Sus scrofa: one gene and its partners. The protein of the gene in region 5 interacts with the protein of the main gene of each other region in a pairwise test. Links are inferred from orthologs where the notes say so. Each region holds a gene or a part of one and is shown on either strand. Other genes may lie near its edges. The genes, in order: PRKAA2, LPAR2, PPP1R16A, RHOQ, TRIP6, FRS3 and GSE1.

Evidence for each region.
Region 1: the proteins of TRIP6 (region 5) and PRKAA2 interact in binary tests that used the Homo sapiens proteins (3 or more experiments, as listed by UniProt). The link is inferred for Sus scrofa from reciprocal best matches to the Homo sapiens genes TRIP6 and PRKAA2.
Region 2: the proteins of TRIP6 (region 5) and LPAR2 interact in a two-hybrid assay, tested with the Homo sapiens proteins (2 studies listed by BioGRID). The link is inferred for Sus scrofa from reciprocal best matches to the Homo sapiens genes TRIP6 and LPAR2.
Region 3: the proteins of TRIP6 (region 5) and PPP1R16A interact in binary tests that used the Homo sapiens proteins (3 or more experiments, as listed by UniProt). The two-hybrid records come from large-scale screens. The link is inferred for Sus scrofa from reciprocal best matches to the Homo sapiens genes TRIP6 and PPP1R16A.
Region 4: the proteins of TRIP6 (region 5) and RHOQ interact in a two-hybrid assay, tested with the Homo sapiens proteins (2 studies listed by BioGRID and IntAct). The two-hybrid records come from large-scale screens. The link is inferred for Sus scrofa from reciprocal best matches to the Homo sapiens genes TRIP6 and RHOQ.
Region 6: the proteins of TRIP6 (region 5) and FRS3 interact in binary tests that used the Homo sapiens proteins (3 or more experiments, as listed by UniProt). The two-hybrid records come from large-scale screens. The link is inferred for Sus scrofa from reciprocal best matches to the Homo sapiens genes TRIP6 and FRS3.
Region 7: the proteins of TRIP6 (region 5) and GSE1 interact in binary tests that used the Homo sapiens proteins (3 or more experiments, as listed by UniProt). The link is inferred for Sus scrofa from reciprocal best matches to the Homo sapiens genes TRIP6 and GSE1.

The regions. Positions count from the first base shown.
Region 1 is NC_010448.4:155,751,235-155,755,787, reverse strand, and holds the start of PRKAA2 (5'-AMP-activated protein kinase catalytic subunit alpha-2), read left to right. Parts: upstream 1-1,543; 5' UTR 1,544-1,593; coding exon 1,594-1,687; intron 1,688-4,553. UniProt on the Homo sapiens protein: Catalytic subunit of AMP-activated protein kinase (AMPK), an energy sensor protein kinase that plays a key role in regulating cellular energy metabolism.
Region 2 is NC_010444.4:58,295,000-58,299,415, forward strand, and holds the start of LPAR2 (lysophosphatidic acid receptor 2), read left to right. Parts: upstream 1-1,381; 5' UTR 1,382-1,638; intron 1,639-1,645; exon of another isoform or gene 1,646-2,056; intron 2,057-2,080; exon of another isoform or gene 2,081-2,257; intron 2,258-3,271; exon of another isoform or gene 3,272-3,273; coding exon 3,274-4,015; intron 4,016-4,416. Other genes in the region: GMIP (GEM-interacting protein), read left to right, coding at 242-308, 444-817. UniProt on the Homo sapiens protein: Receptor for lysophosphatidic acid (LPA), a mediator of diverse cellular activities. Seems to be coupled to the G(i)/G(o), G(12)/G(13), and G(q) families of heteromeric G proteins. Plays a key role in phospholipase C-beta (PLC-beta) signaling pathway.
Region 3 is NC_010446.5:302,998-306,884, reverse strand, and holds part of PPP1R16A (protein phosphatase 1 regulatory subunit 16A), read left to right. Parts: coding exon 1-210; intron 211-1,079; exon of another isoform or gene 1,080-1,164; coding exon 1,165-1,235; intron 1,236-1,310; coding exon 1,311-1,456; intron 1,457-2,292; coding exon 2,293-2,396; intron 2,397-2,472; coding exon 2,473-2,597; intron 2,598-2,686; coding exon 2,687-2,966; coding exon of another isoform or gene 2,967-3,041; coding exon 3,042-3,171; intron 3,172-3,335; coding exon 3,336-3,501; intron 3,502-3,724; coding exon 3,725-3,887. UniProt on the Homo sapiens protein: Inhibits protein phosphatase 1 activity toward phosphorylase, myosin light chain and myosin substrates.
Region 4 is NC_010445.4:94,009,647-94,014,109, forward strand, and holds the start of RHOQ (rho-related GTP-binding protein RhoQ), read right to left. Parts: upstream 3,015-4,463; 5' UTR 2,672-3,014; coding exon 2,530-2,671; intron 1,969-2,529; coding exon 1,910-1,968; intron 1-1,909. UniProt on the Homo sapiens protein: Plasma membrane-associated small GTPase which cycles between an active GTP-bound and an inactive GDP-bound state. In active state binds to a variety of effector proteins to regulate cellular responses. Involved in epithelial cell polarization processes.
Region 5 is NC_010445.4:8,711,742-8,716,065, forward strand, and holds the start of TRIP6 (thyroid receptor-interacting protein 6), read left to right. Parts: upstream 1-1,479; 5' UTR 1,480-1,638; coding exon 1,639-1,747; intron 1,748-2,039; coding exon 2,040-2,167; intron 2,168-2,259; coding exon 2,260-2,385; intron 2,386-2,672; coding exon 2,673-3,059; intron 3,060-3,355; coding exon 3,356-3,449; intron 3,450-3,557; coding exon 3,558-3,727; intron 3,728-4,213; coding exon 4,214-4,324. Other genes in the region: SLC12A9 (solute carrier family 12 member 9), read left to right, coding at 1-790. UniProt on the Homo sapiens protein: Relays signals from the cell surface to the nucleus to weaken adherens junction and promote actin cytoskeleton reorganization and cell invasiveness. Involved in lysophosphatidic acid-induced cell adhesion and migration.
Region 6 is NC_010449.5:36,966,646-36,971,260, forward strand, and holds the start of FRS3 (fibroblast growth factor receptor substrate 3), read right to left. Parts: upstream 3,033-4,615; 5' UTR 2,780-3,032; intron 1,105-2,779; exon of another isoform or gene 880-1,104; 5' UTR 747-879; intron 1-746. UniProt on the Homo sapiens protein: Adapter protein that links FGF and NGF receptors to downstream signaling pathways. Involved in the activation of MAP kinases. Down-regulates ERK2 signaling by interfering with the phosphorylation and nuclear translocation of ERK2.
Region 7 is NC_010448.4:3,245,782-3,248,617, forward strand, and holds part of GSE1 (genetic suppressor element 1), read right to left. Parts: intron 2,349-2,836; exon of another isoform or gene 2,109-2,348; coding exon 1,974-2,108; 3' UTR 1-1,973.

The DNA of each region.
Region 1 (4,553 bases), on a different chromosome or scaffold from region 5:
ACAAGACACAGACACTTTATATTGCAAAAGAAGAATAGGTATTTTTTCTACTTGAATGAATACTGGAGTGACCATCAATCAAATGAAGGTTCAGCATCAAAAATAACTGGCTATTTTCTCCAAATCGTCAGCTAGGTAGACTGTTTTTTAAATAATACTTCTGGTCAGCAAGAAAGATGATCCTAAGAATGAACAAAAATAGCCTCTGTTCAACAGCTGTGATGTCTATAATTTATAAGATGTGATCATCTCTCATCAGATTGACTTGATGGCTAAACAAAAATGGATGTATGCTCGCCATTGGTATATTTGTCACTTCTCGGAAAACAAACTTCTGTTACATCTTATTCTTTCTGATAAATATATTTCTCTCTTTACATAAAAATAGTGAGATGAAATTTCCTGTTTGGGGAATGTGACCTTGAAACTCTACTGTCATGCACAAAGTTAAAAATGTTCAGTTAATCCTTAAACACTTATTCCCAATCAGCAAATAATTTTTAGTCACGGAAAGAGGAAATTTTGAAGACTGGGACACAGTAGGAAGCAAAGAAGGGAGAGAGGAGGAAGTGAGAACCACTTCATTACTATATTACTGTATCTTGGCAGTTTTTAATGCTTACCACCTCCCCCCACTTCAATCTTTACCTTTAATTTGTGCCTTTATATTGCCCTAGCTCACCGTAGTACTTCGTCCCTTATGTATCTTACTTTCCATGCTCTCTTCATTTCCGTCACTGTTTCCCTTTTGTACGGCTCCATCACAAATTATTTATACACTATTTATATAGGTATGTGCTAAAATACAATCAGGTAACTCTTGGGTCTGATTGTTCCGAGAACTTTGTCCAAATTAGTGAGAACTGAGAACTCTAGAATGGAGGGTCTCCATCTGTAGCTCAAAATGATTGAGAATGAGGAAGTACACCGAGGTGGGTCACTGAAGCCAGCACACAATTGGGTTCTGTGTGTGTGTCATGACCTGTATCATAACACTGAACCTGAGACTGGAGAAACTTCCTTGTAGCTCTCCTTAGACTGACCTTCGAGCAAGGTCGTTCACCATCGCCTCCCGCCCGGATCCCTTAGACCCCTAAGCTGGTTTTCACACCCCTCTTTCCTCACACTTCAGGCCTGTTTCTCTTCTCCACCTTCAGCTTGCATCTCTCCGCATTTGCTAAGATTCGGCCCAAATCCCACCCTCATTTCCACTCCTTCGGGTTCTCCTCACCGCCCCGCCCCCAGATAGCGGGGCACCATCCGACCGCCACCGCCTCCCGCGCACACCTGTAGTCCTCCGACCCTCCCTCCACCCGGCCTCCTGCGCCCAGCCCAGGGCCCACCCTGCGCGCCCGCCAGCTCCGCACACCTACGTCCCCGCGCCGGCTCTGGCCGGGGGTGTGCGCTCTGCCCACCCGCTCGAGCCCCCGCCCCGCCCACCTGCTCGCCCTCCCGCCCCCCGCCCGGCCCTCGGCGCCTCCGGGCCCCCGCCCCCCGCGGGCCCGCTGCACTGTGGGTAGGCGGCGGCGGCGGCTGCGGCCGCACTGAGGAGTCCGCCGCGGCGGCGGCGGAGCGAGGCTGCGCGCGCCGAACATGGCTGAGAAGCAGAAGCACGACGGGCGGGTGAAGATTGGACACTACGTGCTGGGGGACACGCTGGGTGTCGGCACCTTCGGCAAAGTGAAGAGTTGAGTACGCGCCGAGGCCGTTGCTCCGGGCTGCCAGCCTCGCGGGAGGCCAAGCCCGGGAGCCCGGGGCCGCCAGCAGGCAGTGGGTGGGCAGCGGGCGGCGGGGCCTGGCGGCAGGTGGAGCGGCCCCACCAGGGCCGCGCGGAGCCCGGGGGCTCCGGGAGGGCAGCCGTCACTTCCTCGCCCCGCGGCAGCGGCCGGGTGAGGGGACGCGGGAGGGGCGCAAGCGTCCCGGGGTCCAGGGCCGCCGCCCACCGCCTTTCTCGCAGTCGGGAGCGAGACGCTTCTCCCGCCCGACTTCAGTGCCCTGCTCTGTGACACCGGGAGACTGGACTGTTGGGCAAGGTGCCTTCCTGCTGGGAGACTGTACGGGTAGGGGTGGGGAATGACACGCGTTCCTGGTAGTGGAGTTTCCATTTTTGCCAGGTGCCCCGTTAGGTCCTTCACAGGTGATCTCCTTTGAGCCTTAGGGCAGATGCAGGTGTTATCCTCACCTTAAACGCGAGAAAACAAGGACCCCCTAGGGGTTTAGGAACATGCTCAAGGTCACACTGGGATGTAGGTCTAAAATGTCCTCCAGTTTGGCCAGCTGGGAGGTCCCTGCCGTCCGAGTTCTTTCGTGCTCCCTTGCTGGGTTGGTGGGGCTGAGAGTTTAGGGGGTGCTCCCCGAGCGAGCGGTTGGGTGGGTCTTTCTCCTGGCTGGAATGCAGCTGCATTGGATCGGGGTTAGTTACAGCTGGGAGGTCTGAAGGTTGGTTGGTTTGTGTAAAATGGTCCTAGGAAGGCTTCTGGGATGCGGGAGAGAAAATGCGGTCCTTGGTGCTGGATCTTGGGGGATGCCGGGCTGAGGCCAGAACTGCTAAGGCGTTTGTGCTCTGCTGAGGTCTGTGTTCTTGGTGATGCGGTCCCATTTTGGGGTGTAGAAAAACAGGTTGCTTTTGAATTATTTTTACTTCTTCCTAGTTAAGTATTGAACGTTCCTGTTTTTGTTAATAAGAGTCACATGGATTTAATTAATTTGTCCCCCTCCCCCGAACTAGAACCGGCTATTTAAAAATACTTCTCTTTTGATTGTTGCAAATCCATTACTGTAAGTGTAGTTTGCCTCCCCCCCCCCCTTTGCTCTAGAAATGTTGGTTAGGTAGTTTGTAGATTTTATGGAAACTTCTATTTCCTCAAAAACTGATGTTTTAACTTTAAATTAAGGCTGTTAAATGTTTATTTCTGTGGCACGGACCAGCTCTTATTTACTTCCACATGTCTGATATCCTTTCGTTTGTTCAGAACGCACTGATTGAGTGCCTACAGTGTTTCAGGCACTGTTCTAGGTAATGGGGATACCCTAGAAACAAAATCAGATTAAAATCTCTCCTTTTGTGGTGCTTTAATAAATTCTTGTAGGGGAAGACAACAATTCCTTTGTGTATGTATATATGCGTGTATATGTATGTATATATGTGTGTATGTATATATTTGGTGCCCTTGAGAAAAATGAATGAGAGAAGAGAGGATAGGGAATTTTGTGAGGTTAGCAATTTTCAATAAGTTTATCAGGCAAGGCCTCACCGGCAGGGTGGTATTTATCTAAAGACCTAAAAGATTTGTAAAATTCTTTGACGTACTGTGAGAGCTGTGAAGGCTTTTAGTTTTGAAAGACTTTATAGAGTGGACAGTTAGGAGAATATATTTAGAATGACTATAGACTCAGGAATTGGATTAACGCTTATAACATTACTGAGGCCTCTTGTGTTTTGATGTTATACACCCAAGCCTTTGCCATCTGGACAAGTACACTCTCCAGGTTATATAAGGTACCCTGCGCCCTTTGAAATTGTTAACATTTTTGTTTGTCTTTTTAAATTTTTCTGTAATCTGAATGTTGACTAAAACACCTATCAGGTCAGTCAGCCCATTGGCACAAGACAACTTAAGTCTCTTTTGTATATACTTTTGAGCTGCTTCTAGGCACTGACGACTTAAAATGTAAACCATCAGAAAAAATGCTTTGATTTATGAGAAATACTTTTCCTGGAAGCCCCTGCCCAAAGAGCAGCCAATTGGAGGAGATGTTTCTAACACTATACTAGGGCCTCTCTGCAGTAAGACTGTGGTTTCTCATCCAAGGTTATAGACTTAGTACAATTGCTTAATAAAAATTATAGAAGTTGCTACATCTTGAAGTTAGTCATTTACCATTGACCCTTGAACAGCACAGATTTGAACTGCATAAGTCTACTTCTACAGATTTTTTCACTAAATATGTACTACGTAATACATAGTCTGAGGTTGGTTGAATCCTAGAATGTGGAGCCATGGATATGGAGGGCTGACTGTAAAGTTATACATAGATTCTCAACTGCCCAGGGTTCAGTGCCGCTAACCCTGGTGTGGTTCAAGGGCCAGTTGTAATTCTTCAAGGGACAGGAAGCAAAAGCACATGCATTTTTAAAAACAGCTTTATTCAGGCATATTTTACGTATCATAAAATTCACCCATTCCAAGTGTACAATTCAGTGATTTTTTTAGTAACTTTACCAAATGGTGCAACCATTATCGTAGATCAATTTTAGAACATTTTCATCACCACAGTAAGATTCCTTATGCCCATTTGTAGTTAGCCCTCAGCCCTAGAAAACTGCTAATCTGTTCTCTGGATCAGTCTGCTTTCTCTGGACACTTCTTGTAAATGGGATCATTCAATATGGAGTCTCTCATGTCTGACTTTTTAATGTAACAATGCTTTTGAAGTTTGTGCATGAATAGCATCTGTCAGTGGTTTGTTCCTTTTTATTGCCAAATAATATTCCATTGCCTTTTCAGTCACCTGTTGATGGACTTTTTTTTTCTGTTTTTGGCTGTAACAGA
Region 2 (4,416 bases), on a different chromosome or scaffold from region 5:
GGCTGTCACTTTCCAGGCTGGCCCTCTGCTGAACAAAGGCATCCCTGCCCTCACCGAGCCCACAATTGAAGTTAATGACACTGTTCTTCGGGGGCGGGGAGGGGGGGGTGGCAAGCATTACACTCTTAGGGGCATCATTTCTCCTAGATACCAAAACTGCAAAGGAACTTTTACATGTCCAAGTGTACTGAAGAACTGAATTTTATTGCTGGGGGTCTCATTCTTGGGTTTCTCCCTGCAGATTCCAACTTTGCAGTGTGACCAGGGAGAGGAAGTAGCCAAAGACACCAAAGACGAGGGAGGGGAAGGTGAGTGTGTTGGGGGGTAGCCCAGGGGTTCTGGGGTTGCCCCTTCCCTGGGGTAGTTTGGCTGAGTGATGACAACAGGGTAAGGGGCATCCAGAGGACTTAAGGGTGCTCAGCATTGACCACTCCATCCTACAGTGTCCAGCCAAGGCCTCCAGGACTCACCCCTAGGGACACAGTCCCGTGGCCACTTCAGCCGCCAGCCAGTGAAGTATCCCCGGGGGGGCGTGCGGCCTGTCACCCACCAGCTGTCGGGCTTGGCCCTGGTGGCTTCCAAATTGTGCGAGGAGACCCCTGTCACATCAGTGCCCCAAGGTAGCTTGCGGAGACGAGGACCCGGCCCTACTGCCACCTCCTGTGAGGGCAGCCCTCTTCGACGCGCCCCGCTACCCAAGCATTTTGAGATCACTCAGGAAACAGCCCGGCTACTCTCCAAGCTGCACAGTGAGTCTGTGCCCAAGGCCACCTGCTGCCCAGACCCTCAACCTGAGGAAGCCGAGGACCATCTCTGACCATTCCAGCACTTTGACCAAGAAGCCCAGGATTGAGAAGATGGACCAGGAATTCAATGTTGGGTTGTCTGGAGAGTTCCTATGGGGAAAGACTACACCGCCTAGGGGAGAACTAAAACCCTTTTGGGGGCAATGTATAGGATTCCCTCACTAGACACAGGTTAGTGTTGAGCATCAGGGCCACTCAGGTTCAGAGGTCATTCAGGTTCAATACTCAGGGTCAATACAAGTCATGAGATCCTTGAGGTCCACTCTAGTCTCTGACCCCTGGGACAGAGGTGCTTTTGGCTAATTTGATTGTGGCCACTCCCCCATCTCTGTGCCTCATTAGTTGATCCCGAGTGACCAGCTCTTGCAGAGTGTGGGCAACCCAGACTCCACCCACTCACAGGAATCCTGGTAGTCCCTGGGGTCCTGTGGCCTCTGAATAAATCGTGTCCTTTATACCCTTGAGCGTCTTTCTTTGCCAGAGGGTGACAAGAGAGAGGTTGGCGAGGGCAACATCCAACCGCCCCATTTACCCACCAGGGAAAACAAATCCCCCATTTTTTCATTTCAGAACACTCTTGAGCACCTCCAAGCAGTAGAGGCTGGGCTTGGGCACCTGGCTGAGTCACACCAGGCCAGCCCTCCCAGAGTTCTGCGTCCCCATAATCAAACAAATATAACAAAGTGCAGATAACCGGGACAATAGGGCTGTGTGCTCTGGGCCGTGGGAGTCCAGGGCCGCCACAGGCGTGGGCCAGGCAGAGAACAGCACTGCTGGGGGCGGGATTTCGAGAAACTGGAGTGCGGCCGGACAGTCAGCTGAGGCCAGAGAGGTCCGCGGGGCAAGGGAGGCTGAGGCCCGCGGTTGCTCTGAGCCGGCAAAGCTGAGGCGGGGCTGGGGTCCGGGCGGTGGGAGCCGGGTCGGATCAGGGCGTGGCTTGGAACTCGGCGACGGATTGGACGCGAGGGAGCCGGCGGGGTGGGGACGGGGCGGGGGCGCGGACCCTGAGACCACCCGGAGGTGGGCCCCGGCGGCACCAGGTCACGGCGGGAATTCTCGGGCAGCGAGTGACTCAGCCCCGCGAAGGCCCAAAACTGCGGGCACGTGAGGTGTGCCGGGACTGGGGGTGGGGGTCCCGCGCCGGAAGTGGAGAGGGGCGACTGAGGGGCCGCGAAGCGGAGAGGAAATGAGGGATCTGCGGTTCCGGGAGACCCTGTCCTCGCTGCGCAGCGGAAGCTGGGCTGCCTCAGGTGTTGGGGACAGGGCGGGGCTCACCTAGGTGGTGGGGGCGGGGCACTGCGGCTGGGGCGGGGCGGTGGGACCCCGCCTCCCGCGCTCTTTTGGTCGCTAGTGCCCAGCGCAGCCAGACTCTCCTCTGCTCCCGCCGTGGTCTCCTGGCCATGGGTCTCGGGCTCGAGGCCGCCCCATCTGCGGCGTGACGGGCGGCCCAGGTGAGGCCAGCATGGACCCGGGAGGGAGGGCGCGGGGACCCGGGAGGGCGCGGCACGTGCCTGCGGGCCCGGGAGCCGCCCCCTCTTCTCCCTCCTGCTCCTCCCCCAGCCTGGGGGCTCCAGGTGGCCCCGCCAGCTGTAGCCTTCCCGACCTCCCCTTTTGTCCCAGAGGCCGCCAGGGTCCCACCCGGAACGTCCTGGTGTCCCGCCCGCTTCGAGAACACTCGCGCCCAAAGCCGCCGGCCAAGTTATGGGGCTGCCTTACTGCCCCATCTAACAGCCGGGTTCACCTCCACGCCCCAGCACCGACCGCCAAGCAATGGCCCCACCCTGTGCACACACGCCCCCTGGGCTTTGCTCCCTGCACTAATCCCAGCACCAAACTGACCCGCCCTTGCCTACTTTCACAGCTCACGCCCCTTTGTCCTACCCTAACTGCTCCCGCCCCCAATAGAGATTGTTTACAGATTGGCACTGCGTGGGCAAATGAGATTTGTTTTGCTTCTTTAATTAAAAAAGCAAAAAACAGGAGTTCCTGTCGTGGTGCGGGGTGGAAACAAATTCGACTAGGAACCCTGAGGTTGCTGGTTCGATCCCTGGCCTCACTCAGTGGGTTAAGGATTCAGCGTTGCCGTGAGGTGTGGTGTAGGTGGCAGACGCGGCTCAGATCCCACGTTGCTATGGCTGTGGTATACAGCTCCGATTAGACCCTAGCCTGGGAACCTCCATGTGCCCTGGATGTGGCCCTAAAAAAGACAAAAGACAAAAAAAAAAAAAGCAAGCAGTCGTTTGATTTGGGATATATCTTTATAAGAATCTTATTAGTAATTAGGCAAGGGCTGCCCAACCTCACCCCACAACTCATGGTCACCCTTGTCCCCATCACTGCCACTTTGCCCTGAAGGATCTGAGTTTGATACCCTTGACCTTCCTGTCTTAACTCTTCTGACTGCTCTTCCCTCCTGTGTCCTTCCAACAAAGACTGCCTGTACTGATCTTTCCCTCTCTGCCCCCAGATGGTCACCATGGGCCAGTGCTACTACAATGAGACCATCGGCTTCTTCTATAACAACAGCGGCAAAGAGCTCAGCTCCCACTGGCGGCCTAAAGATGTGGTTGTGGTGGCACTGGGGCTGACTGTCAGTGTGCTGGTTCTGCTGACCAACCTGCTAGTCATCGCAGCCATCGCCTCCAACCGCCGTTTCCACCAGCCTATTTACTACCTGCTGGGCAACCTGGCTGCAGCCGACCTCTTTGCAGGTGTAGCCTACCTCTTCCTCATGTTCCACACAGGCCCACGCACAGCCCGGCTCTCACTTCAGGGCTGGTTCTTGCGGCAGGGCCTGTTGGATACAAGCCTGACGGCATCTGTGGCTACACTTCTGGCCATTGCTGTGGAGCGTCACCGAAGTGTGATGGCCGTGCAGCTGCATAGCCGCCTACCACGAGGCCGGGTCATCATGCTCATCGTGGGCGTGTGGGTGGCTGCGCTGGGCCTAGGGCTGCTGCCTGCCCACTCCTGGCACTGCCTCTGTGCCCTGGACCGCTGCTCACGCATGGCCCCCCTGCTCAGCCGCTCCTACCTGGCCGTCTGGGCCCTGTCCAGCTTGCTTGTCTTCCTGCTCATGGTGGCTGTCTACACTCGCATTTTCTTCTATGTGAGGCGGCGGGTGCAGCGCATGGCAGAGCATGTCAGCTGCCATCCCCGCTACCGTGAAACCACACTCAGCCTGGTCAAGACTGTTGTCATCATTCTGGGTAAGTGGCACCCTGCTTCCCCCCAACTCCTGCAAGACTTCATAGAGCATAATGTGAGGGGTGTCCTCCAAGGAGGTGATACCTGAGTAGAGACCTGAATGCTGGGGAAGGGAAGAGTTCCAGGCAGAGGAACAGAAGGTGAGAGCCCCCCAAATAGGACCAACCCAGCACTTCTAAAGAGGGGAGAAGCCCACGTGACTGGTCTTCAGCACGGCCTCGAAGGGCACAGATAGAAGTCAGATTTTGTTCTGAGTTCCATGGGAAGCCATTAAGAGTTCTTAGCCTGGAGTTCCTGTCATGGCACAGCAGAAACAAATCCAACTAGGAACCATGAGGTTGTAGGTTCGATCCCGTGCCTTGCTCAGTGGCCTCACCAGGTTAAGGATCCAGCGTTGCCATGA
Region 3 (3,887 bases), on a different chromosome or scaffold from region 5:
TGAGCACACAGGAGCGGCTGAAGCATGCCCAGAAGCGACGCGCCCAGCAGGTGAAGATGTGGGCCCAGGCTGAGAAGGAGGCCCAGGGTAGGAAGGGCCAGAAGGAGCGGTCGCAGGAGGAGGCAGCCGGTGGCAGGCGGCAGAAGCGGGTCCTCTTCCCTCCCAGCGTTGCCCTTCTGGAGGCAGCTGCCCGCAACGACCTGGAGGAAGGTGAGTGGGGCTGAGCCCCAGGCCATCCACGGCCCCGGCCCCGGCCCCTCACCCGGCTCAGACCCCAGAGGTCTGCCTGCCTCACAGAGCCCCAGGTCTGTCCCTGCTTCTTCAGCCCCTGACGCCTGGTGGCCGGTGACCTCAAGGGGTAGCCCTCACGGCGCGGGCTCCTGCTGCGAAGGTGCCGCCAGGCGGGGTGGCCTGGGGCTTGGCTGGGGGTGCTCGTGCTAGAGTGCTGCTGGGCGTCCCTCGGGAGGGTCCTGCCACCAGCCGCTTGGGTCTCTGCCGACCAGGGAGGATGCTGCTGCCCACCTGGGCAGGTCAGCACACGGGGAGCAGGGCTCTGCCTGTGACCACTCCCCCATCAGCACCTTCCCAGGCTTCCTGTCCCTTCCCCTTGTCACACGTGCTCTCCAGGGAGACTCTCCAGGGAGGCTCCCAAGGGCTCTTCCTGCCTCCCTCCAGGGCAGAGGCCTCTGCTGTGGAAGCTGGGGTGCAGAGGGCAAAGAGGGCTGGGGAAGGGGGTGCGGCCATGGTGGGTGTGCCCCAAGGCCAGCTTGGGGCTCTGGGGAGCTCCTGGGGCCTGCAAGTACCAGAGGAGGGGCGTGTGGCAGGGGAGGGGGACCTGGGGAGCACAGGACCCACAGAGGGATTGATAGGGAGGGTGCCAGCACCCAGCCCCAGTGGGTGTCGGGACCGCCTCACACAGGATGGCCCCCCCGGGCGTCAGAGGGTCGGAAGGCCCTGCTGGAGGCGTCGGACTGCTGTCTGTGCCTGGCTTGGGGTCCCAGCTCCTGAGTCCTTGGCCTGGGCTCTGGTGTCCCTCCCACCACCTGTGCCACCACCGCCCTCTGCTCTTCCGGCTACAGCACAGCAGTCGGCCCAGGCCCCCAGATGCCGGAGCCTGAGCGGGACTCCTGTTCCTGTCCTGACCACCCCCGCTCCTCCCTGCAGTCCGCCAGCTCCTCGAGAGTGGGGTCAGCCCCGACCTAGCCAATGAGGACGGCCTGACGGCCCTGCATCAGGTCAGCCATTCCGGGGCCAGGGGGGAGGGAGGGGCGGCGGCCTGCCCTCTGGTGCTCAGGCCGTGCGCTCCGTAGAGCTGCATTGATGACTTCCGGGAGATGGTGCAGCAGCTCCTCGAGGCCGGAGCCAAGGTCAACGCCCGAGACAGTGAGTGCTGGACGCCCCTGCACGCCGCGGCCACCTGTGGCCACCTGCACCTGGTGGAGCTGCTCATTGCTCGGTAGGGCTGCTGGGACCAGCGTGGCTGGGGTGGGCCTCTGTCAGGGGGAGGTGGCAGCTGGGCCAGGGGGGCACAACCTTAGGTACCTCCTTGTGGGCAAATGTGCTTGGCCCTTGGTCTCTTGTGTTCCCACTTACCCGCCTGTTCCCTGGCCTGGAGCCCAGGACCTGGGCAGAGGCCTCAGCTGCTGCCTTCCCCGAGGACGCAGCACAGGCTCAGCGCAGTGTGGTCCTCTGCTGCCAGGCTGCTGGCACTCCCTCCAGCTCTGGCCTCCTCCCCTTCCCAGGGTCTGCACAGAGAAGTACTGTCGGGTCAGAGCGGTGACGGAGGCAGCCCCGGGGGCGGGGGGGAGGCTGGACACGGGTGAGGCCACTAGCAGGGGGGGCAGCGCAGGCCTGGGGCTCTGCACGGCCGCTCTTGTGAGCGGAGAGGGTGGTTCGCTCCACCAGGACCTCGAAGTGCCCCCTGCACAGTGCCCCTCCCTCTGACCTCTCTAGTCAGAGTCAGGCTCAGGCTGACCTTGGAGCATCAGTGGTGGGTGTTGCGGGGTGGTGGCGGTCTATCCCCTTTGCAGGGGGAGCGGCTGTATGCAGCGTCACAGGGCAGCAAAAAGGGGCACACACCCCCAACTCCCCCCTGCCCCCCCGAGGCCTGGCATCCTCTAGGGGCAGGTGGGCCCACTGTACCTGGTCATAGGGCAGATGGGGGCCGGGAACGAGTGGAAACTGCAGGGCAGCCCTAGGGCGGGCCTCCGAGAGGGCAGGCCTCCGAGGGGCCTGGGGGCCTCGCTGGGGGAGAAGGGCCTGTGGCCAGCACCCCATCCATCCTCCCCGCAGCGGCGCAGACCTCCTGGCAGTTAACACTGATGGGAACATGCCCTATGACCTGTGCGAGGATGAGCAGACGCTGGACTGCCTGGAGACGGCCATGGCCAGCCGTGGTGAGTGCCACCCTGCCCACTCACCCACCCGGCCAGGGGTGCCGGGCGTGCTTGGCCTGAGCCTCCTGCCCTGCAGGCGTCACCCAGGACAGCATCGAGGAGGCCCGGGCCATGCCGGAGCTGCACATGCTAGAGGACATCCGGTGCCTGCTGCAGGCGGGGGCTGACCTCGACGCCCCCCGGGACCATGGGGCCACGCTGGTGAGGATGTGGCCAGGTGGGGCCCAGCAGGGGTGTGGCTGCTGGCTGGGCCTGGGGCCAAGGCTCAGGGGCAGGCGGTTTTCGTGCAGCTACACATCGCCGCAGCCAATGGGTTTGGTGAGGTGGCTGCCCTGCTGCTGGAACACCGGGCCAGCCCAAGCGCCAAAGATCTGGATGGATGGGAGCCGCTGCATGCTGCGGCCTACTGGGGCCAGGTGCGTGCCAGGCGGGGGCGGCGGGGGAGGGCGCCTGGCAGCTCCGGAACCTTCAGCAACCTGGGCTCCCGGCCACAGGTTCACCTGGTGGAGCTGCTTGTGGCACACGGGGCCGACCTGAACAGCAAGTCCCTGACGGACGAGACGCCTCTCGGTGAGCCAGAGCCTCATCCTTCCGGTGTGGGGGAGGGGCAGGGGGCACCCATGATCCTCTGCCTCTCCTCCTCAGATCTGTGTGGGGACGAGGACGTGCGTGCCAAGCTGCTGGAGCTGAAGCACAAGCACGACGCCCTCCTGCGCGCACAGGGCCGCCAGCGTTCTCTGCTGCGCCGCCGCACCTCCAGTGCCGGCAGTCGGGGGTGAGTGCCCGCCCAAGGGCCCTTGGGCACCCCCACTCTGCAGGCTCTGCCCTGGGCCTTGTCCCAGCTGATGTCACCTGGCAGGCCAAGGTGCCCATCGGAACTTGGGGCAGAGTCCATAGGGCGGGCGGCATCCTCCCCACCCTCCCCCTGCCCTTCCCCAGGAAGGTGGTGAGGCGGGTGAGCCTGACCCAGCGCACCAGCCTGTACCGCAAGGAGCACGCCCAAGAGGCCATCGTGTGGCAACAGTCACCACCCACGAGCCCAGAGCCTTTCGAGGAGGATGAGGACCGCCAGACAGACTCCGAGCTGAGGCCACCACCCCTTGGGGTGAGCCCTGCCCGCCTCCCCACCCCCACCCCGCCCCCGGGCTCCACCCTCGCAGCCTGGCACCAAGGTCCTACCCCGTACCAGCCTCAGAAGCTGGCGGGACCAGTGCCCGGGGCGTCAGCTGCTGCCCCCACCCTTGTTTCTGCCCCAGGGTGCCATGCATCCTGGGGCCAGGGGCTGGAGAGACCCTCCTGATGGCCTCTGGGGACTGCTCCCCACACAGGAGGAGGACGTCCAGGAGGCCAGGCCGCACAACGGCCGAGTGGGCGGCCCCCTGGGGCGGCACCTGTACTCCAAGCGGCTGGACCGAGGCGTCTCCTACCAGCTGAACCCCCCGGAGGGCACCACCGCAGATGCCCTGGTCCGGGCCAGGGCCCACCACACCC
Region 4 (4,463 bases), about 85 Mb from region 5:
CAACCACTTCAAACTAGAGCAGGTTGAGACCCGTGTCCAAATCCCAGCAACACTCCCTAAGAGCTGTGTGACTTTAGATCAGCAACCCAGCTTCGCTGAGCCCTCGTTTCCTCATCTGCCTAAGAGGGAGGATCACTCATCTCATGGAGCTGTTGAGGGGCGAAAATACTCCTTGCATGTGGCTGCCCCGGGCCTGATAGGCAGAAGGAAGTCAGTAAATATGAGTCAGATTTGAATGTGCACAGAACAGCTCTGACATACACACGTCCTGTTGAATAAAGTTCGTGGTCAAAAAATGGTCACGGTGACAAGCAACAAAGAAAAGGGAAGAAGAGGCCATAGTGAGAGAAGTTAAAAGTCAACATGAGTCTCAAAAAGCTCTTCTTTCAGCCAATAATTTCAACCTGTTGTTTAGCAACCATACGGCTTCAAAGTTGGTCTTATTTGATAAACCTGTTGTTTATCAACTACACTGCTTAAAAGTTGGTCTTATTTGATTGAATGGGTTCTGCCTCTTGCCCTTCTTCCTAGCTGGTAATGAGAGTAAGTACAAGGCAGGCAATGAAAAACAACCCTTGGAAAGCTAAGAAGTGGTTGTACCGACCTGGGTCAGTTTGGCAAAAGGGGGTGGCCTCAGGCATCTCATATTGCCAATGGTTTCTCAGTTCTCAGATGCTCCTATCACTTCATAGTATAGAAATGAGGGATGCATCAAGATGCCCCCCCCACAATAAGACATTTGTCAGACTAACCTGGAACTACAGTTTTGACACCCAAATCTAGAAGAGCTACAAAGGAGAGCTCCTCTTTATTGACCTACCTGGTGTGTGCCACACTCAGTGCTAAGCATCTAACATATATGCCCAGGGGAATGGTGTGAATTTTTAAAACTTCATCTTACAGATAAGGAAACTCTACTATGGACATCCCCTAAAGACACTCTCTAAGGCCCTCAGCAGCTCATATGTCCTCAAGATCTCAAGTCTGGACGACACGTGGAAACTTCTGCCTGCATTTTCAGGTCTAATCACAGGGCTGGATTTTGCAAAACTTCATCACACACATCATCTTAGGCCCACAGCAAAAATGGGTCTAGGAGGAGGGTGGCGCTGGGACAGAGACAGAGAGGAGATCTTAATCCTTTAGAAGCCACCTCTAATTTGCAAATAATGGTCCGAGGCTGACGTGTGGAGGGTGCATTTTCTTTCTGCACAATAATCTCTCCCAAGGAAAACCCAGACAAAGTCACCTGGCCTTGCCAGGGAACAACAAAAAAAACTCTTCCTCCAAGATTCACACTGAACTCCTGACCCTTCCTTCTCTCCCTGCCCCAGGGAGTGGCTGGATGGTTGTTTCTTTTCTTTTTTTTTCCCCTGCGGTCCTCTGGTAACACCACAAATTACGTTTTCAGGGACTCGAGTCCCAGAGTGCAATGATGTTGTAATAAACATAACCAGGACCAAATGCCTTCCCATCATATTAGATGATGCCATTTCCCACCAATCAGGCTCCTCTGGCGGGCAGACCACTCACCAATGAGGGACCAGACAAAGGCTGTGAGGGGAGACCTGGTCATCGGCAACTAAAAATAAGGGCGCTTCAGGATTGGCCACTGCCACTTTGCAACAGGAGTTGGGACCCACACGCCAGGCACCAGACAGAAGGCACACACAGGCAAAAACTTTCAGCCCAGGGGTTCACGTGGGGTGGGCTGGTCCCGATGTTGCCAAGGTTTTTTGTTTTTTGTTTTTTTTCCTTTTCCTAATTCGCTGACTTAAAAAATGAGATACTTGATCCAGAGGGAACCTCGCAGACACACCCTCGCTCCTAGACAGTTTCCAAGGCCCTTCGCAACCGTCTTGAATTGGGGAAAAGGAGGGGGGTGTCGGCCAGAAGCCCAGACACTCACCTGTCCGGCTGTGTCATAGAGTCCCAGGAGGTACTGCTTGCCCCCTACGGTGACGCTGACTGCAAGGGCAGAAGTGGGGGCGGGGAGAGAAGCTCACAATTATCTAGGCTCGGGGCGGTTTCGTTCCCCACCCGGACCCTCCTCTCCCAACCCAGCTGGAGGCACGCGGGCGCGCCTCCGGGGATGCCACCCCTTTTCCCCTGTGCCCGGCTCACCGGGAAGTGGCCTGAGGCCGGGGTGCGATGTGGCGCCCCAGCTGCCCAATCTCTTTTCCCAAGTCCCATAGCCACGTTTCCCTCACCCTCCTCCCCCAGGGCTTTGGGAAGTAAGGAAGGCGGCCCTAGGAAGGTCAACGAGGTCGGCCCGGGGCACAGAGGGGGTTAGGAAGTACTGGGCGTAGGGACGCCGCACAGAGGTCGGGGGTGAGAAGAGGGGTGGATCGGGCAGGCGGGGGGCTGCCAGAGGGAAAGCCTGGGGGTGGGGCCCGGCGCCCCGCGGAGGGCGCGGCGGGGGAGGGGCGGGGAGCGCGCGCAGGGGAGGCGGCTAGGGGGCTCAGCCAAAGTTGCTCCAAAGTTCCCGGCCCGGGGAGCGGCCCCTTAGTCAGCACTTCCGAGGCTTACCTGCGTAGTGGTCGAAGACGGTGGGCACGTACTCCTCCGGGAAGGCGTCGTTGGCATAGCTCATGAGTAGGCAAGTCTTGCCCACCGCCCCGTCGCCGACCACCACGCACTTGAGCATCAGCGCGCCGGGCCCGTGAGCCATGCTGCGGCCGGCCGGCCTCCGGGCATGGTCCCCCCGGAGCCCCCGCCCCGGCCCCGGGCTCAGCCCCAGCCCGCCTGGGGGGTCCGCCGCCGCCGCCGCCGCCGCTCCGCGCAGCAGGGCCGCCCCCCCGGCCCCATGCAGCGGCTCCCCCTGCCCGAGGGGAAGGGGCGGCGGGCCCGGGGCGCTGCCGCCGCCTCGGTCGCTGCCCGGATCCCCGCCCGGGCCCCGGTCGCTGCGCCTGCCCGCTGCCCCCGCTGTTCGGCGCCCGCGCCCTCTCCCCGGCCCGGCCTCCCCAGGAGGATCCGCTGGATCATAAGACTGGCCGGCCCCCGGGGAGACGGCAACTTTGGGGAGGGCAGCGGAGGGGAGGGGCCAGGAGGCTCTCCCCGCCCCGCGCCGGCCCAGGCCCCCTCCAGGCTCGGCCCGAGAGGAGGGCGGGCCCAGGCGCCTCCCCCGATCGCGGGCCACCCGCCCGGCGCCCCCGCCCGCCCGCCCGCGGGCTCCGGCGCCCCACGCCCAGCCTGCAGCCGCTGCTCGGCCCTGCGGGCTCACCCTAGCTTGACTCCCCGCGAGGGCTGCAGGGAGGGGGCGAGGAGGAGGAGCCGAGGAAGAGCGAGCGGGAGGAAGGTGAGGCTGGGGGAGGGGGCTGGAGACCAGCACTCGGGAGGAGCCGAGGGCTCCTCGCGAAAGTGCCGGCAGCTCTCAGAAGCGTCCAAAGCCCCCGATGCTGGGAGAAGACGTGGAGGCCTCCTGGGGAACCACGAAGACTGCTACGATGACGCAACAGTCCTGCAAAATTATACATATACATTTAAATTCCACCCGGAAGGCAGGATCCAGCCTATCGGCCTCTAAGTGCACAACAGAACTAGAAATCGGGAAGGAAGAAAGGCCAAGAGAGTTAAAAAAAAAAAAATTTTTTTTTTTTTTTTTTTTTTTTTAAGGCGCGCGGAGTGATGGGGCAGGGGTGGTGGTCCATGAGCTGGAAAGTGGGGACTTCTGGTTTATTGTTTGGTTCCCCCCTCCCACCACCACCAGCCTATGCTGTTCGCAGCAGAGCTTGAATCATTTACTATGAATCTGGTGACTAAGGGAGTTACAGCATCTTGAACCACAGATGCATTCCCCCCCTCCCCCTGATCCGTCAGAAAAGGGAGACTCCGAGACTGTGGAGGCGGCAGGTGTACCTGTGCTCCCCCTACAGGCGACATTCTCTGAGGCCCCTTTATGGTCCCCGTGTCCCTCGAAGGTATTAGGTTGTGGTCCCTGAGGAGTGATACACTCTAGAGCTCTAAGATGTGGCTTATGATCCAAGCGACATCTCCTATCCTCCTGCCTGGGAGAAGCTTTATAACACCCGTCTGGCCAGGTCCCATTCACTGGCCAACAATGCTCCTTCTAACTTTAGGCCCTGGGGGAGAGGGGTGGGGGAAAGAGGATACCCCACACGTTGACACCACGCCCCCCCTTCCCTTCAAGTGCTGACTTGAGTTCAATCGATTCCTTTCATCTCTTCGCAGGATCAGAAAATGCTATTCTGAGAGGCACTGCCGAGGTCAGCTGGACCATCTCTTATATCTCCCTAAGATTGTAGGTAAGCGAATTGAGACACACAGAGGTGAAGTGGTTAGTTATCGCAAAGCCTCCTCCTTGAATTCTAGCATTCAAGGACTTGGAACACACCTTGGGAAATGCTCAGTTGTGTGCTCATGCCACACTTCCCAGGCCTCAACTCTCAACCCCAAATCCGATTTCCACTGTCCTGGAAGATTTCCTGGATTATTGAAAGTTC
Region 5 (4,324 bases):
CACCCAGGAGGGCGGGTCCCCAGCCCTGAGCACCCTGTTCCCTCCACCCCGGGCTCCTGGGAGCCCCCGGGCTCTCAGTCCCCAGGACTATGTGGCCACTGTGGCAGACGCCCTGAAGATGAATAAGAATGTGGTTCTTGCCCGGGCTTGTGGGGCCCTGCCCCCTGAGCGACTGAGCCGGGGTTCCGGGGGTACCTCTCAGCCACATCATGTGGACGTGTGGCCCCTCAACCTGCTGCGGCCCCGGGGTGGACCTGGCTACGTGGACGTCTGCGGCCTCTTCCTGCTGCAGATGGCCACCATCTTGGGCATGGTGCCTGCTTGGCACACTGCCCGCCTCCGGATCTTCTTGTGCCTGGGGCCTCGGGAGGCCCCAGGGGCAGCCGAGGGGCGGCTCCGGGCACTGCTGAGCCAGCTGAGGATCCGGGCAGAGGTGCAGGAGGTTGTGTGGGGTGAGGGGGCTGGGTCCGAGGAGCCTGAGGAGGAGGAGGAGGGGGACTTTGTGAATGGCAGGCGCGGAGACGCAGAGGCAGAGGCCCTGGCACGCAGCGCCAACGCCCTGGTTCGGGCCCAGCAGGGGCGCGGCAGAGGAGGAGGGCCTGGTGGGCCTGAGGGTGGGGATGGCGAGGAAGGGCCCACCACCGCCCTCACGTTCTTGTACCTGCCTCGGCCGCCTGCTGATCCCTCTCGCTACCCTCGCTACCTGGCGCTGCTGGAAATTCTGAGCCATGACCTGGGCCCCACGCTGCTCATTCATGGCATCACCCCTGTCACTTGCACTGATCTCTGATGCCGGTTCCTAGTAGAGAGTGTCCAGGTCGAGTGGCCCACTTTGCTTGGCGGGTTGAGGAGGGGAGGTGCTGCCTCTTGCCCTCCTTGTACTTGGGACTCGGACCCTGGTGGAGGTATTAGGGGAACCTGGTCTTTGGGAGAGGGTCCTCGCTGTGCCCAGGGCAGCTGAGCCGGCGGCCACCACTGGCGAGAAGTCAGCAGCCCTCCCCCACGCTGGCCTCCCTCCCTTCACTGGTGCCTTGACGGGGCTGGGTCTCCGCTTGTGACTCTAGGCTACCTCAGTCTCCCCGCCCCTTGCCCAGTAGACTCCTCACCCTTGAGGTTGTGATGTTTTTGTTCCGTTTTATTTTTCTAACTGCTGAATGTGAATAAAAGACCAAAACACTAGGTGCTGGCCGAGCGTTTCTGGAGGGAGCCGGTAGGGGGGACAGAATGCGGGACGAATCTGTATGCGGGGAGGGGCACTGGAGCATCCCAGCGCAAGGGGGCCACGTGCGGACTTGGGGCACAAGAGCCCCGTGTTAAAGGAGGCTGCCTGAGCCTCCCACCCCCACCCCCCGGGCCCACGCTCTGGAGGAAAGCCGCCCCGGCTCGCAGGAGGGGGCCGACTAGGGGAGGGACGGCAGTTTAGGGCCTAGGGGGCCACGTGACCCTCCCCCAGGAATGCGATGACGTCATCGGGGGCGTGGCCGTCCCCAAAATTGGGGAGGAAGGGGAAAAAAAAAAGCCAGAAAAAGTTTCTGTCCTGGAGTCCCAAGCGAGGTGTCGGGGGGAAGAAGGGGTCAAAGTCAGAGCCCTGGGCTCCGTGGGGCCCTGACCGCTGTCTGGAGTCCCCCATTCCAGACCATGTCCGGGCCCACCTGGCTCCCCCCGAAGCAGCCGGAGCCCGCCAGAGCCCCTCAGGGGAGAGCGCTCCCCCGAGGCGCCTCCGGGCCGCCGCCAGCCCACGGAGCAGGTAAGGCAGCCCCAGTGCGGTGCGGAGGCCACCGGGCCACCAACACTCAACTCTGCCCTGCTGCTCTTGCCTCCCGCTGAGCCTGCCCCTGTCGCCCCTTCCCCAAGCCCGGCTGGAACCCGCCGCGCCCCCGCCCTCGCCCTCTCCCAGCCCTCACTGCCTCCTGCCCCATTCTCGGACCCCAGATGCGGGGGGAGAGGGGTGAAGAGGGACCCAAGACCGGTGGCCTCCACAAGTGTCACCCTCCTCTCCTTCCCCATCCCCACCTTGGCTCTCTCTTCCCTCACCCCAGCACTCCAGTCCCACCCCAGGGTCAATTTTTGCCCCCTCCCATCTGAGCAGTGTTACCAGGCCCCTGGGGGACCGGAGGATCCGGGCCTGGCCTGGGTGGGGTGCCATGGAGCACCCCAACGCTCACAGGTGAGCACCGCGATTAGGGGGTGTGGGGGGGACTTAGGGCAGGAGAAGAGGCCATATGAGTTGCATTCTCCCTGCTTTTGCTCTATCTCCAGGGGCTCCCCCCGGACAGGGGGGCCTTGCGCCCAGGAAGTCTGGATGCTGAGATAGATTCCCTGACCAGCATGTTGGCTGAGTTGGACGGGGGTCGGGGTCACGCCCCACGGCGGCCTGACCGGCAGGTGACTCCCCGCTCCTGTCCCTCCCTGTCCTTGTCCCCCACCCCTCCCCCGCAACCTGGTTCCTGCTCTGTATTCTCACTCCTCTTCTCCCTCCACATGGGGGATGCACCCACCAGCGAGGAGGAAGCTGGGCCACCAAAACGTACTAGGTTGCCAGCCACTCAAGGACGGGCCCTTGTCAAAACCAGTGCTTACCTGGGTGCCACAGACACAGGGTTCAGGGGTTCCACAGATGTGTGTTCTGGATTGGGCCCAGCTCATGCCTTCTGGTCTGTGCTTCTCTCCAGGCTTATGAGCCCCATCAGCTCCCTGCCTACCGCTCAGGCCCTGGCTCCCTGAAGCCGAATGGAGGGAGTGTTCCTCCCACACCACTCCCAGCGGCCTCCTATGGCGGCCCCACGCCGGCCTCCTATGCTACGGCCAGCACCCCCGCCGGCCCTGCCTTCCCTGTGCAAGTGAAGGTGGCACAACCAGTGAGAGGCTGTGGCCCCCCCAGGCGGGGGGCCCCTCAGGCCTCGGGGCCCCTCCCCGGCCCCCACTTTCCTCTCCCAGGCCGAGGTGAAGTCTGGGGGGCTGGCTACAGGAGCCACCGTGAGCCAGGGCCAGGGGGTAAAGAGGAGGCTGCCGGAGTCTCCGGCCCTCCGGGAGGAAGAGGAGGCGGGTACGGGCCCCAGGTAAGCCCTGGGCCCTGGGATTTGGGGTCCTCAAAGACAGTTGGATGCTGACTGGGTGGGGTGGGGGTGGGGGTTGATGTTCCAGTTTTCAAGCTCTGGATTCCCTGGGGGCGGGGGGCAGGTCAGGAAATAAAGGAGGGAGGGGACTAGATCTGCACACTGGCTCCCAGAGGCACACCCCTGGCCCCTGGGCTGGGGTGTTCTCCTGTGAGCTTTTGGGTGGAATTGCCTGATCACTCTCGGTGACAGTATTGGGAGGGAGAGGTAGGATTGAACCCCTGATTCTCACCTCCCAGGTCCCCCTGAGCCAGCCTCCCGAGGAGGAACTTGAGAGGCTGACCAAGAAGCTGGTGCAGGACATGAACCACCCGCCCAGTGGGGAGTACTTCGGTGAGCTGCCCCCCGCCACACACCCCGGGCAGGGGGTGGGGGGAGGTCAGGTAGACAGTGGGTCTGGCTTCCCAGTCTATGGTTGACCCTGACCCATCCCGTCCCCAGGCCGGTGTGGTGGCTGCGGAGAAGATGTGGTTGGGGATGGGGCCGGGGTTGTGGCCCTGGACCGTGTCTTTCACGTTGGCTGCTTTGTCTGTTCTACGTGCCGGGCCCATCTCCGGGGCCAGCATTTCTATGCCGTGGAGAGGAGAGCGTATTGTGAGAGCTGCTATGTGGTGAGTGGTGGGGGCTGGCGGGGGGTGGTGGCAGATGGAGTCAGCAGCAGGAAGCAGGGGGCTTCCATCCAGAGTGGGAACTAGGTGTCCAAGCCCCAAAGAATAAGGCTCGAAGCAGGAGAACTAAAACTAATAAAGAAAAAGGCATGGATGAAATAAGTAGCTGTATACTGGTTGCTGGAGAGAAAGGACAACATTCCCCTGTAAGAGTGAGGCATTTATTTTCGGTTTAGGGGAATGTGCTGAATCCCCACAATGCCCTGGTGAGGCAGCTGTTACTCCTGAAGGAAACTGAAGGTCTGAGAGCTTAAATATCTTGTCTGGGGAAGCTGCAGTGCTAGGATTTGCACGCATACCTGTTCAAGGCCACCTTTAACTGAATCACATGCAGGGGGCTACATAAATAGGTGGGGGAGCTGGCAGGATGCCTGTAAGGGCTGCCATGGGTCACCCCAGCCCTGACCTTCCTGCTCTCCTTCCTGACAGGCCACCCTGGAGAAGTGCTCCACCTGTTCCCAGCCCATCCTGGACCGGATTCTGCGGGCCATGGGGAAGGCCTATCACCCTGGCTGCTTCACTTGTGTGGTGTGCCACCGC
Region 6 (4,615 bases), on a different chromosome or scaffold from region 5:
TTCATGATATTCTTTTCAAATGCGATATTACATTATGGTCAAGAGATACATTCAAGGAATTCCTATCGTGGCACAGCAGAAATGAATCCGACTAGGAACCATGAGGTTGCGGGTTTGGTCCCTGGCCTCACTCAGTGTCTTCAGGATCTGGCACTGCTGCGAACTGTGGTGTAGGTCACAGATGTGACTCGGATCCCGCATTGCTGTGGCTGTGGCTGTAGGCCAACAGCTGCAGCTTTGATTTGACCCCTGGCCTGGGAACTTCCATGTGCCGTAGGTGTGCCCCTAAAAAAAAAAAAAAAAAAAAAAAAAAAAAAAAGAGAAAACCAAAAGAGAGATACATTCAGAAGATCAAACAATTAAAACCTTGAGTAGGCATTTCTTCGTTAAAAAATTAAATGCTGGGTTTGCTCTCCTTTGGCCAAAGTGGAGACGAGAAGCCTTACTGTTTGGCTTTTCCCTCCCTGATTAAGGCACTTGGATTAGACGTCACAACAGTCAGACCTGTGCCCAGGATGGAGGGGAGACCACCAGGCTACAGTGACCTAAGGGAGCAAGCGAATGCATGGGCCAATCCCAAACAAGTTATGGGGTGGCAAACGGCAGCAAGAAATCAATTGGTAGGATTAGATGGCCTTCTGGCACTCCCCCTGAATGTGTAAAGCCTTGAACGATCCTGACCCGCACCCTCCATTTCTCCCAAGTTGGGAAGCTCCAGAAAAGTGGCTCCTATACACAGCTCTCACCTCACCCAGGCCATCGGGGAGCCGACCATGGGAGGGGCATGGGGAAGGACCCCCACTTTATTCCCCCCTTTCTTGGTGGGGCGTCATGACAAGCCGTCTGCAGAGAAGTCACCTGGATCTCCCTGGGGCTCACCTAGCATAGGAGACAGAGACCACAGGTTAGCAGAAACCTTCCATCTTCACCCCCAATTGTTAATGAAAATGACTTGCTCTCAGTTCACCCCACCTGGATATCTGTTGCACGTCCTAATGAAATAGAAACATCTATTGGAGTTCCCGTCATGGCTCAGTGGTTAACAAATCCGACTAGGAACCATGAGGTTGCGGGTTCCATCCCTGGCTTCACTCAGTGAGTTAAGGATCCAGCTTTGCCGTGAGCTGTAGTGTAGGTTGCAGATGTGACTCGGATCCCATGTTGCTGTGGCTCTGGTGTAGGCCGGCGGCTACAGCTCTGATTCGACCCCTAGCCTGGGAACCTCCATATGCAGCGGGAGTGGCCCAAGAAATGGCAAAAAGGACAAAAGAAAAAAGAAAAAAAAAAGAAATAGAAACATCTAGGACGAACATGAGATCAAAGGCAAAGGGACCATGAACTCCAAGCCCCATAGACCCTGAGAGGCCCCCTCTGGCATCAGTGAGTCTAAGGCAGCCCAGGGCATTTTTAAGTCACATGTCCATCTGAATCCTATTACAACCAAGATCACCACCTTACCTTTGCAGAGAACTTGAACTCTGCAGAGAGCTTTCTCAAAAGGACACTAAGATATACTGGAAAAGCAATGGCTTAAGAGTCAGGAACCCAATAGTCCCGTCTTTTCTGTTGCTAACTTATATCTGGGAGTCTGCCAGGTTGATCCTCCACTCCCCCAACTCCCACCCCAAGGCCTGAGTTTTGAAGGGAAACAGCTGTCAGCTGCAGAGCTTCTAGCTTCAATAACCTCTAGAGGTTAGTAGGGAGGACAAACATCACTAAAATCAACATTTTCCTCTTCCAGGACAAGCTCCTACGATCTCACATTCGGACGCTTGATAGATTTTTCTGTTCTCCAAGTTCTGAAAGGCTGGAAATTTAACATAAATGCTGCCAACCAACCAAAACTTCAGTAATCTGAGCCCTAGGTGGACTAGTTGACAAGCCAGGACCCAGGAAATCCCTGAAATCCCACCCTCCTGCTCTAGAAAAGCAATGTCATTTCCCAGGACCCTTTGTTGCTCAGCATCCTTGGACAACTTCCCAGGTAAAAGGGCTCCCACCCTCTTGGTTTGGCTTACTTCCTGGAGGGGGGCAGCAGGATGAGGAAGGTGTGCAAGGACTAGAACAGGCAGCTGGGTAAATATTGAGGCTTGAGCCACCAAGAGGGAGTCTGGGGGTGAAACCAGGAGCTGCAGGGTGCAAGATGGGGGAGGGCGCTGCACCTTTTCCTGTCCCCTTCAATTCTCTTTAAGATACCAGGATATAGCATGACAGCCCAATGGGGGGGGGGCTACATGGGGTGGAGAGGCAGGAGACGGCTCTGGTCTGAGATGGGGTGGATTGGGGGTGGGAGTATGAGGTTATTGGGGATTCAAAATGTATGAGAGGGATTGGGGAAACGTGGGCAAATTTTTTTGGATTTGAGCACAGTGCAAGGAGAATGAGGGAATATGAAGACTCAGGAATTTCAGGGCGGTGGAAACATCTGGTGGTATCCAGGAGAGAATGGTGGTTTCTGTGGGCATACCAGGGGAATTCGCAGGAGTGAGGGGGTTCTGAAGGTCCAGGACACGCGAAGGTGTATCCAGAGGGTGGGGGTGGGGTGGATCCGGGGGATTAGAGGCAGATTTAGGTGACAGGGTTGACAGGGGAATTTCTAGATCCCGAGAAGGAATAGGGGAGGTCGGGGCCGCGCGTCGTCCCTAGATCCCCGCCCCCCAGCCCGGGCTCCACCGCCCGCCCGCCAGGGGCTTCCTCGGGAGGGAGCGGAGACTGCGGTGCGGCGCGGCGCGGCCTCGGTGGAGCCGCCTTGTCCCCGCCCCGCCGCGCCCCGACTCACATCGCCCCGCGGCCCGGGCGGCGCCGGGCCCCGCTCCCGGGTCCCGCTGCAGACAGCCGCCGCCCGCCCGGAGCTGAGGCCTCCCCGCCCCGCAGCCGCGGGGTCGGAGGTCACCGGCAGCACCAACGAGACGCTGCGGGCGGGCGGACCCGATTGGGGGCGACCGGCGCGCAGCCTAGAAGGTCTCTTTGGAGGACTTTGCAGTCGGGAGCAAGGAGCATGCGCAGACGCCAGAGGGCGCTCCGGGCCAGAGGCTGAGAGAGCCTGGCAGGGGCGGGGCGGAGCCTGGGGCGGGGGCGGGGATAGGGCGGGGCTGAGGGGGTCCAGAAGTGGGACCAAAGATTTCCACTCCCAGGATCGCTAGACTGGCGGGAGGCGCGGGGGGGGGGGGCAGTGGGGGGAGCCTAAAGGGATGGAAAGGAGGAGGTCAGGACCAGGGACCCGGAAAGGAGCTGGGACAAGGGGGAGGGATCTAGATGGGGGTGGGACACACAGACAGAGGCGGGACTAGGACACCAGAAGGAGAGTCTTGGCGGGGGGACCTGCAGGTTCCGAAGGGCGTTGCGTTCCGCAAGTGCTTGAGGACCCGGCTAAACGGTGACTCCCGGTGTCTGCTCAGCATCTGCAGGGAAGCGATTCCAGCGCTAATCCCATGGGCATGGCGGCAGTGAAGCCTGCTCACTTTCCACCCGAGAGCCCTACAAATGCTTTCCTTTAGTCTGCAGCTCTAGGCCCCTCCCGGCCTAGGCCCCTCCCAGAGCCGCCGGGCTCTACCAGCTCCTGGGCAGGGCCCGCGAGCGGAGGGGGGCGTGGGAGAGGAAGGGCCGCTCTCCGCGGGCGGGCAGAGGCCGGCGCTGGGGCCTCGGGGTGGGGACCGGCTGAGGGGCCCGACGGCGGGGTCTGTCCAGTCCAGAGCGGCCCGGACACCGGCGCGTAGCGAGGGTGAGACCCCAGCAGAGTCCCGTTCCTTCTCTTAAACTCCGAGCAGACACACTGGGACCCCCGCTGACTCCAGGACAACACTGCGCCCCGCTTCGAAGGTGGGCCCCGCGAAGCCCAAGAAAAAACTTTGGGGATCTGTCGAGAGGGCACTTGGCGGAACCTGACACTTCTCTTCCCTGTCTTCCTCTCACTGTCCTGGGAAACCTTCCCACCCGCGACCCCCAATCCCTAGACTTAGCCCTTCAGGGGTGGGTTGGGAAGGTCGAACTCCTGAGCCCGGGTACACTTGCGCGGGGGCAGGAGAAAGTATTCAGTCCCTTGTGTGGGGGAGGGGAGGAGGAAATTCTCGAAGGATCCAGCATGTTAGTAAGGTGGGGGTAAGGTGGGGCCCCCGCTAAGTAGAGGTGATGTTATGTGGTCCTGGGCCGAGGGGATGAAGGGTCAGGGGCAAGGACTGATTTTTGAGCATTGTCTCTGTGTGGGACGATTTCATGCAAACAAGAATTAACTTGGAAGGGAGGGTGCAAGTCTCCTTTGGGGCCCCGGAAGCGCCCCCTTCCTGTGATCACCCCCTCCCCAGCGGGTAGTGCTGCTTGAGGAAGTGGCTACTCCTGGCCCCGAGTGTGAGCAGCCCATCCTGGCTGCTTTCCACAGGAAACCTGAGCTGGGGGACAGAACGGGCAGGAAGCAGATGGGTGCGGAGCCAGGAAGCAGGGAAGGATAGCAGAGGGTGGGAGCTCAGGTCTGGGAAGCCGTATAATTGTTTCAGTCCAAGCCCTGTTCCCAGCCCCAAAGCTGGGTCTTACAGGGGCCAGGGTGATGCCCTTCTGTGCCCAGCTGCTGGCAGAATCCATCCCTGCTCTCGAAGGTAACCTCCTCCTCTAAAGCTTCCCT
Region 7 (2,836 bases), on a different chromosome or scaffold from region 5:
CGCCCTCTGAACACCTGTCCCCACCTGTGGCACGTGGTGCTCTCTGCGTCTGTGCAGGGGAGGCGGCCCCAGAACAGCCCTTAGTTCTGTCGTTTCTGCAGCGGGGAAGGCGCTGGTAGACTGCTGATAATACTGGCGGCACTTTCTGTCTGCGTTTGCTAATAACTGGAAGGTTCCTGGCAGGCAGACAATGCAAACTGTGTGGGAACAGAGAAAGCGACGCAGCGCCATCTGCCAGCAAGCTGTCGTGCGCGGGTGCGGTCTGGGGCTGAGGGCACGGCCCTGCTCACTGTGAGTGGCCTTCCTGACAGTCCGCCAGCCCTGGCCCCAGCCCAGGGCAGGGGGCGCCCGCAGTGCAAGGCTCCAGCTTCCTCCCCTCGCCCCCAAGGCTGACTGACCCCTGGCTGCTCTGGTCTCTGGTTCAGGCCCTTCAGGCAAGAGATGCCTTCTTGATTGAGCTCAAACCCTGCCTGAACAAGCAATAAGTGGGCTCAGAGGGAAGCCCCCGCCTCTCCCCGCCCCAGGCTTCACACGGGTCATCCCTGTCCAGCTGCTCCTGTGCCTGTCACGGCAGGTGCAAGAGGGGGAGACGTTCTGCTCATTGTTCACCCCACTTTGAGGCTGTTACAAAGCTCTGCCTCTAAAAAAGCCGCTAACGTTTCTACTCTGCACCTGCTCTCCGACTGCTGTGAGACACCCTAGAACCTAGCACAGAAACCGCTCACTTCCTGAAAGGGCCTCTGAGCAAAGCCCGGGGCTGGGTGCTGTGCTGGGCGCGCGTGACGGCACGCAGAGGGCCTCGAGCCGCCCCTCCTCGCTGGACAGCAACGGGCCCCAGGGGCTCTCGGCCATCCGGAGCCAGGAGGGGCCAGCAGGAGGGAAGCGGCAGCGTGGCGGCTCCACGGCACTTTCTGGTGGCAACTCGGAAATGAAGCGACCGCATAGGCGCCAGTGGTAAGCTCTTTTACTTTTCTTCTTTTTTAATTTTTAAAAACACTTCAGTATTTTAATGTCCTGACCAGCAGCAGTACAAACACTAAAAGCAAGGGTTTTTTTTTTCTTTTTTGCCCAGAAAAACAAAACAAAAAACAAACAAAACCCCCAAACAGGAAAACAACAAAAATCCCCCCAAACCACATATTAAAAATGGCAGGCTTTTTATAACAATAATTAAAGTAATAAAAACATACAAAACTTTGTTTTTTAATATATATACACAGTACAAGGCTGAAGCACCTTTGACTATTCTCTCAAAATTGACGTTTGTATGAAAACACCCCCCACGGCAGGAACGATCCGTGGCTGTGACTCAACGCACGCACAGAGCTCTGCGCGTGTGCCCGTGGAGTGACAAAAAGGTACCTTCCGTTGGCTGATGGGCTTTCTCTCTAGGTGAGAGCTTTTCCGGGGAAAAGCCTTGGGCTGAGGCTTCAGTACGGCTGCTTTGTGTGCTCCTAGGACCTGGTGCTTGGAAGGGAATTTTCCGGAAAAGTAACTGAAACAAATAAGCCCTTTAACTTAAAACGCACCCCACCTTCCGGGAGCTGGAGCAGGCCTCCCTCCGGCCCCGAGGACCGAGACCCGCGCCCACCGCAGCGGGAGCCGAGCGGCCGCTCCTGCTCCAGACTCCGGAACACACAACCCCAGGGGCGAGAGAGGACCACGTGTTAGTGTTGGTGACGGAGCGTCCGCTTTCAGCTGAACAACGATGACGTGGGGAAAGACTAAAACCACCTCCAGAAAGAAAAACTAGGGGCGTCTACGTGGCTGCTGGCTGATGACCAAGACGACTGAATGGCATTGGAAGCCGAGGCGAGTCCGTTCTTTTTCTGGGGCCTGGAATCCTTTGCTTCATGCATGGCACATTCTCATTGTTTTAAGCTTCAAACCTCCCAGTGAAAAATATTAAATATTCAAGGTAATAAAATAGATACTATTTCTCTACTCTAGGTTCGGCCTCGTGCGACGGAGCGTCACCTGGGGTACCCCTTCAAGTAACCCCGGGGCCAGTGCATGGCCGGCAACGCAAGGCACTTCCGTAAGTGATCCAGTTCGGCCTGGAGGCGCTCCCTTTCTGAAACAATCTTCTGTTTCTGGCTCCTCAGCTCCTGGAGAGAAGGAAACGCGTGTAAAACAAACGCCTGCAGACCTCTCTCGGTTGTGCTGCGCGCCTGGGTCCGCGCCCCCGACCTTCAGCACTGCGCATGCTGGGCGGCAGAGGGCGGGTTGGCCCACAGCAGCCTCGGCCTCGGGAAGGACCGGTCCAGCTGTGCCCCCAAGGCCTGGATGCCCACAGAAGCAGCTTCAAGCCGGAGGTGCCCACACCAGCCCGGCCCCACAGCCGAGAGGTGCCCCTGCCCCCTCCCTGCGGGCTGGGAGGAAGGGGGGTTAAGGCTGCAGGGCCTGCAGGTGTGTGGGGGACCGTCTGGCCTCAACAGCTTTGCTCCTTAGCAAATCACAGGCAGGGAGGGTGAGACAGGGCTTCATGTCCCTCGGCGGCAGGGAAAAGAGCTTCGTCACCCTCCCGGAGCGGAACTCTGCTAAACCTGGGGCCTTCGGCTGACTCCTGAATCTCCCCTTAGGACGCCAAGCTTTGATCGCACAGGAGCAGGATTTCCCCTCAAAACATGCTATGTGGGGTGGGTTTTTTTTTTTTGTCTTTGTCTTTTTAGGCCCACATCTGTGGCATATGGAGGCTCCAAGGCTAGGGGTCGAATTGGAGCTGCAGCTGCCGGCCTATGTCACAGCCACAGCCACACCAGATCTGAGTTGCATCTGCGACCCACACCCCAGCCCCCGGCGATGCTGGATCCTTAACCCACTGAGCGAGGCTAGG